Linked DNA regions of Ovis aries. The protein of the gene in region 1 purifies or fractionates together with the protein of each later gene. This does not show direct contact. Links are inferred from orthologs where the notes say so. Each region holds a gene or a part of one and is shown in the gene's direction. Other genes may lie near its edges.

Region 1 (3,500 bases):
CTGAAGGTGTTATTATGAAACTGACTCCTCCCACCTATTAAAAACAACTAACATCTTATGGACCCTCTCGTGTGCCAGGGACTGAACTGAGTAAGCACTTTACATGAATTAGTTCATTTAATCCTCAGAAGAGCCCTCTGGGGTTAAAGGTTATCCATTTTTATCGATGAGAAAACTGAAACATGGTTAGGTTAAATAATTTCCCCCAAATAACAGTACATGTCAGAATGTAGCGGAGAAGAACCAGAACCAGGATTCTGATTTAGGCCTCAAACATCAGACCTCTCCCCTCTCTGGGTACCCAGCATCATCTTGGGTTGCTTGGATCTTACTTGGTTGCTGCTTCTGTTCATTTTTACCTCATCACCTCTTCCTCACAGCAGTCACTCCCATCCTTCTTCTTGTGCTTTTCTTTCTTTCTTTTTTCCCCTCCTTCCTTGCCTCCCTCCTCTCTCTCCCTCCCTCCTTTCTCTTCCCGCCCTCCCATGTCTGGGTAACTGGTGATACCATGCACACTGAAACCCAAAGCCTCTCTGACTTGTGGTAAAGTAGCTTGGGTCTACCCTCTGGGGGGAGAGCCACGTCCTCAAGACCTAACCCTTGCTCTGGCTACAAAAAGCATTTGGTTTGGTTTCTGTTTCTCCACAGATTCTTAGATTACCTCTCTGACCTCTGTGTGTCCATGAACAAATCCATTCCAGTGACTCAGGAACTGATATGTAAAGCCGTGCTGAATCCAACCAATGCCGACATCCTCATTGAGACCAAGTGAGTGGGGGCCGGGGAGTGACTATAAAGGTGAGAACGAGATTTAGATGGAGAGCGTGTGCCTTGGTGGTTGTCTGTGCCATGGGGAGTTAAACCCAGCCCCTTCGCTTCTGAAGTCAGGTTGGCTGGCCTATGATTACTTCATGCCAGCATCTTGATTAGAGGAGTTACTGGACTTGCTTCTGCTGTGGTGGCCTCCTCTGTATGGTGATGTCACTGACTTTGCTTACTGAGTCAAAAGTGATGTGGACTACTGGGGAGCATCTTACACACCCTTGATTTCATTTTAAGACATGGAAGTTCTCCAGTTAGGATCCCCAGGTTTAAATTTTAAAGGAGGTAATTCATTGTCATTAAGGCATTGTAGGGAAGCACTTGTGAAATTACCACTATTCAAAAAGTGTTCATTGGTCTACAGAAGTTTGGAAAGTAGTAGTTGATTCATTTGTAAAAGGGAAGCATATACTGCCAGTAACATATCAATGTTAAAAAAGAAATGTTTTTTAAAAACACTTATGCCCTAAACTTGCGATTTTTGTAGGGGAGGGGTCTCATGCATAACATAATTTTGAGCTTGGGCTGAAAGATGACTTTCTCAACCTTGGCCTTTGACATTTGGGGCCCAGCAGTTCTGTGTTGTGGGTGCTGTCCTGTGCCTCACAGGAAGTGCAGCAGTCTTCCTGTGTGTACTTACCGGTTGCCAGCAGTACCTCTTCCATTTAGTTGGGACAACCAAAGATGTCTCCAGACGTTGCCAAGCGTCCCATGGGCAGACACAGCCGCCCTAGTGGGGCACCCCTGAGCTAAAGTATATGAAGAAGTCAATGTTTGTCTCTCCCTGAGGTTCTGCCAAAGGGAGAAACAAAGTGGCTGTGTGTGTGTGTGTGTGCGTGTGCGTGTGTGTGTGCGTGCTGAAAGCCCAGCTGGAGTTCAAAGCACAAATATAGTTGATCAGCGACAAGCGAGGATTTCAGACATAATTAGTTTTCCCACCTCCTCCTACGTTTTCAGGTTGGTGCTCTCCCGTTTTGAATTTGAAGGCGTTTCTACTGGAGAGAATGCCCTGGAGGCAGGTGAAGATGAGGAAGAAGTATGGCTCTTCTGGAGGGACAGCAACAAGGAGGTTCGCAGTAAGAGCGTCCGGGAGCTGGCGCAGGATGCCAAGGAGGGCCAGAAGGAAGACCGTGACGTCCTTGGCTACTACAGGTGTGTAGGCCTGTGCACGGGCGCCCTGTGATGTCCTCTCATGAGACAGTCCATCAGAAAGACAAATGTGTCTTTCAGGAGTTTGTAGAGTGTGAGCTGTCAGCAATACTTACATAGTAGGGCAGTGATACCTGGGCATGGCTTGGTCACAAGGAAGCTGCGCGGTTGCATCAGCTCCTTCTCAGAGTTGTTGGTCTCTACACAGTGTAGCACGTGGATGTGGTTTGTGGTAGATACGAGTCAGGCTGTGGGGTCACCTCTCTACATACTGACTTTAAAAAACTTTCATGTTAGAGTCTAGCTGACTAATAATACGATAGTTGCATCACTGTCAGGGACGCAGCCATACATGTACATGTACCCATTCTCCCCCAAACTCCCCTCCCATCCAGGCCGCCGCATGACTTTGAGCAGAGTTCCATGTGCTATACAGTAGGTCCTTGTTGGTTATCCATTTTAAATAAAGCAATGATACATACTAACTTTTTAACTTGGGTCCAGTTATCCACCTCTATGTCCCAGTTCTTTTACCTGCAAGACAGAGACAATAGTGCCAGCCTCTTAGAACTTTTACAGGCAGAGCTAAGAAATGTGCATGTGTATACACACCTCTCTTGATGTCTCTATCTGCATACACACACACACACACACACACGTCTGTTTCTGTATTAATGTATATGAATGTGATAAAAACCCTGAGTTCACATCACGACTTTCAGCTCCACTCCAGCACCGTAGGGTTATTCTCATCTTCACCCTCTCTATCCACAACTCCTTCCTCGGACAGCGAGAACCTGCCATGTTGGTTGGTTTCCACCCCCATCCTGGTGTTTCCTTGGTCCCAGCTGTAAGACCTGTTGACTCTGCCACCTCAAGGGAAGGGAACCAGTAAACACTTTAAAAAGAAAAGAAAACAGGAGATGGATAGAGTAGTGCCAGTGTCATTTTTTAATAAAAGCAAAACTTGGCAGTTGCAGTGCCCTTTGTGACCCTCCTGTAGTTTGTTCTCTCCATTCACGCAGATGGTGGGTGACCTTCCACACTCTATGTATGTTTATATTTTACATTTCTTTGCATTCATAAATAACACATAGTATTTTATTCAGCCTTAAAATTTTATATAAATGGTTCCATACTCTGAGTTTTTCTCTGAAACCTGCCCTTTTAATTCAACATTGAGTCTGAAATGGATTCACGCTAATGGTGGTAGGTCCGTTTCTTTAATTTTGACTGCTGAATGTTATTCCATTTATTACTGTGCCAACATTTTCTTTTCTCTTTGAATTCATTGTGTGCCACAATTTAGTTCTTCGTGTCAGGGAACATCACTGTTCAGATTGGTGCGCATGTGTAGGAATTTCCATTCCATACCAGGAAATTATGAGATTGGGGCATATGCGTATTTTAAACTCATTAAGCAATCCTAGATTGGATATTTTGGTGCACACTCTCACCAGTTGTAAATGAGAGCTTTTGCTTGTCTTTGCGCTCTCTGAATATTGTGACACTCTTTAATTTTTGTTGAT
Region 2 (4,108 bases), on another chromosome or scaffold:
ACGAAGATCATGGCATCTGGTCCCATCACTTCATGGGAAATAGATGAGGAAACAGTGGAAACAGTATCGGACTTTATTTTTGGGGGCTCCAAAATCACTGCAGATGGTGACTGCAGCCATGAAATTAAACGATGCTTACTCCTTGGAAGGAAAGTTATGGACAACCTAGATAGCATATTAAAAAGCAGAGATATTACTTTGTCAACAAAGGTCTGTCCACTAAATCTATGGTTTTTCTAGTGGTCATGTATGGATGTGAGAGTTGGACTGTGAAGAAGGCTGAAGAATTGATGCTTTTGAACTGTGCTGTTGGAGAAGACTCTTGAGAATCCCTTGGACTGCGAGGAGATCCAACCAGTCCATCCTAAAGGAGACCAGTCCTGAATATTCATTGGAAGGACTGATGCTGAGGCTGAAACTCCAATACTTTGGCCACCTGATGCAAAGAGCTGACTCATTTGAAAAGACCTGATGCTGGGAAAGATTGAAGGCAGGAGAAGGGGACGACAGAGGATGAGATGGTTAGATGGCATCACCGACTAAATGGACATGAGTTTGAGTAAACTCGTTAGCGATGGACAGGGAGGCCTGGCATGCTGCAGTCCATGGGGTCGCAAAGATTTGGATACGACGGAGCGACTGAACTGAACTGAACTGAAAGCCGACTATGATTCAGTTACCCTCGCACTTCATTCAACCTAGATTTTGTTCATTAAAAATTGAGATAATTCCTGCTTAATCTACTTTACGGTGCTGTGGGGACCTCAGAAGCGAAAGCTCCTAGAAAAGCATAAAGGGGAGTTCACAGTAGGGACTGTTGATTAGCGACGTAATGGTGCTAATCTGCACATTTAAAGGATGTTCCATTCAGCGGTGCTACAGGTTAAGTGGAGCTGAGAGCTAGAACGGTTGCAATACGCTGGTAACCTGCTCCGGCGTTAAAATTTAAAAAAAAAAAAAAAAAAACAGGCTTGATCTAATGTGGAGGGGGATCCGGAGCAGACTCCAAACTCAAATCCTCGGAAACCGACGTCTCTGTCTGAGCACCCACGGCCACTCCGCTGGTTCCCGGGGGTCACCCGAAAATCCCAGATCGGGGTCCAGAGCGCCCGGACCGAGCCGCGGGCGCCCCCTGGAGGCCATCCGCGGACACTGCCCACTCGGGGCGCAGGGGCGGGGCCGGCCATCGCGGGGTGAGGGGTGTGGTCTTCTCGCGTGAACAAATAGCGTCATCGAAGCGACGGGCCCGGAAGGAAGTAGCGTGCGGAGGGGTGTGGCGGTTTCTGCGGTCGCATTGGGGGTTTCGGCAGAGTACGGAGCGCCTGGAGGGACAGACAGCGTGGTACGCGGCCCGCGCCCCTTCGCGCGCGCGCTGGGCCTCGGTGAGGCCCCCGGGCCGGAGCTGACTGACGAGAGGCCCTCCCGGGTCGCCTGCACAGCGTCCTGTGTCCCTCGGGAAAGAGCGAGCAAGCCCTTCCCGTCTCGTTCCTGCCCCGCTGTAGCCTCTCGGCGGGGCCGAGCGGGGTCTCAGGGAGGGCTCCGATCCTGCGGCTCATGAGGGGCCGCGCGACCCTCTCTCGGAAGAGGGCAGGGAAGGGGCGCGCGGTGGGGCGGACGGGGGAGGGAAAGGCTTTTTGCCGCCGCTGCCGATCGGTAGCCGGAGGCTGCGAGGGGAACGTCGGAGAGCCTCGCAGACCGACGTCCGCGCCCGAGTTCAGTCAGACCCGGGGGGCAGAGTCCACGCCTCGCGCGTGCGGGCCCCAGGGCGCGCAGAGTCGGGAGCCTCGCTGTCAGTGTGGAGGAGGAGACGGCACCCCCACTCCTGCCTTCTTGCCTGGAGAAGTCCCATGGACAGAGGAGACCGGCGGGCCACGGTCCGTGGGGTCCCAGAGAGTCGGAGACGACTGAAGCGACTGAGCACGTAGCGCTCTCTCAGTTACTGTCGTTTCTTCCAGATCATTCGGGGTTCAGGAAATGAGCTTCTGGATGCTCATTCTTTCGCGTCCTGGTGCTTGAATGCTGTCGACCCAGAAGCCCCAGTCTTCCCAGCCTGGGGACCCCCTTACCCTCCCCCCGCTCAACGTGGGCTAGGAGAACATGCCAAGTGCAAAGTGCCAGTCAAGCACATGGGCGGGAGCGTGGCTTCATCCTTACCCAGAACCCTGTATCTGGCTAGGGCCAAAGGAAGAACGGAGAAGGTGGAGGAAAGGCCAGAGAATCCCGCCCTTCTGAACTCTGCTCTCAGGCTGTCTCTGTGGCTCCAGCACCCGAAAGGAGTCAATAATGGTTTCCTTTGAAATGGCAGGCAATTAGGACTGGGAGGCTCTGACCAGAATTACACAGCCGCAACTGCTTGTCACTTGACATCCTCTGTAATTTGGGGCCAACGTAACTGCAGCTGCCTCTTTCCCTACTGCTAACATGAGTGGCTCCGGTGACAGCCCGTTGATGTTCACAGGAAGAGAGGGCTGTGTTCTGAACACTGCCCACCTGGCACTGGTTCTCCCTTGGGCCACGGGCTGTGTCTGGAGCCACTGCCTCTTGCAGAAGTGGAGAGTGTAATTCCACAGCTGAGGCTCAGGGGTGTCGACTGAGAGCAAGGAGGAAGAGGTGTAGATCTAGCCTGGTGTTCACACTACAGGTTGGACGTGAGCCACTTGCAGGAGCTCAGCTTGGGGAGCTACTCTGGCTGCCAGAGCTCGCCTCCCACAAGTCAGGGCACACACGTTTTCCTGTATCTTTTCCCCCAGGGTAAACGTTCGCTGATGGCTCAGTTGGGAGCGGTTGTGGCTGTGGCTGCCAGTTTCTTTTGTGCATCTCTCTTCTCGGCGGTGCACAAGATAGAAGAGGGACATATTGGGGTGTATTACAGGTAAGGCAGCAACAGGGAGAAGGTTGCAACTTCCTGTTCGATGACTCTCTCTTAGTCAATGTGTAACAGATTCTACTGGCCGGTTGCATTTATATTGTGTTGAATAGGGAAGTCTTCAGACTGAGCTTTGTGTCGGTGACTATGGAAGAGGGATACACTCATGCACGTAAATATAGGGAAATATAAATATGAAACTTGTCTGATGCCGTGGATGGTAACTGATACACATGTTAGGTTTAGAGACAAATGTAAAGGCAACCTTGCTCCTTGAAGATCATCTCTGAAACACTGTTTTCTCCTACTTCCCTCTGGGCACCTTAATACCACAAGCTCACCTCTGAGGAGTGCCAGTTCTTCATGGCAACTTGAGATATAATTTGGACCTACGCCTTAAAATTAACATTTCAGGGAAAATGAAAGAGCCTACAGGTTGATTTGTACCCATCGAGGCAAGCTCTAGAATAGTGGTTCTTAAATGACCTATTCCGTCACTTTATTTTGATTGCTCTTTAAAAAAAAAAATGTATCTGTGACTTAAATAACACAAAGCAAAGAAGCGCTTATAAATCTTGGGTTGCCCTTTGAGTAATGTCCATAACCAAGTTTTTGCTTTAAATCTTTGTGAATTCCTTATATGCCTTTATGAACTCTTTATTAAAGCCCTTTGATGCTTTTCCTCTGGCTGCCAATAGCAAGTTCTGGAAGTCTGATTGGCTTCCACTCTCCCCTTTAATTGTGCCATCAACACCATCTGCTTCTGTGTCTTCCAAAGTGAAAGTCACTCAGTTGTGTCCGACTCTTTGACACCCCATGGACTATACAGTCCATGGAATTCTCCAGGCCAGAATACTGGAGTGGGTAGCCTTTCCCTTCTCCAGGGATCTTCCCAACCTAGGGATCAAACCCAGGTCTCCCAGGTTGCAGGCAGATTCTTTACCAGCTGAGCCACCAAGGAAGCGTGTCTCCCAAAATGAGTTTTAATTCTATTACCATTCACATATAGCATGACTACAAAGGTAACTCCACTGCCCCTCAAAAAATATTTAGATGGTTTATAAAGTTTCCTTAAAATTATTCTTTTGGTTGTTTGTGTCACTGAACTCCAACATTAGTATTGTTAATTGGTCACTGTATTAGTGAACTTAACTGACCTTGTGGATTCTCACAAGCTTAACAGATGTGACAAAAATAAAACACACCTCCTCTCTTAGCTAAGAATCCGCCTGCCAAAGCAGG

The links.
Region 2: the proteins of ITPR1 (region 1) and ERLIN2 purify together in Homo sapiens (affinity purification with western blotting, with the first as the bait; 4 studies listed by BioGRID). This does not show direct contact. The link is inferred for Ovis aries from reciprocal best matches to the Homo sapiens genes ITPR1 and ERLIN2.

The regions. Positions count from the first base shown.
Region 1 is NC_056072.1:21,685,438-21,688,937, reverse strand, and holds part of ITPR1 (inositol 1,4,5-trisphosphate receptor type 1), read left to right. Parts: intron 1-648; coding exon 649-768; intron 769-1,779; coding exon 1,780-1,974; intron 1,975-3,500. UniProt on the Homo sapiens protein: Inositol 1,4,5-trisphosphate-gated calcium channel that, upon inositol 1,4,5-trisphosphate binding, mediates calcium release from the endoplasmic reticulum (ER).
Region 2 is NC_056079.1:32,105,733-32,109,840, forward strand, and holds the start of ERLIN2 (erlin-2), read left to right. Parts: upstream 1-1,308; 5' UTR 1,309-1,847; coding exon 1,848-1,874; intron 1,875-2,750; coding exon 2,751-2,872; intron 2,873-4,108. UniProt on the Homo sapiens protein: Component of the ERLIN1/ERLIN2 complex which mediates the endoplasmic reticulum-associated degradation (ERAD) of inositol 1,4,5-trisphosphate receptors (IP3Rs) such as ITPR1.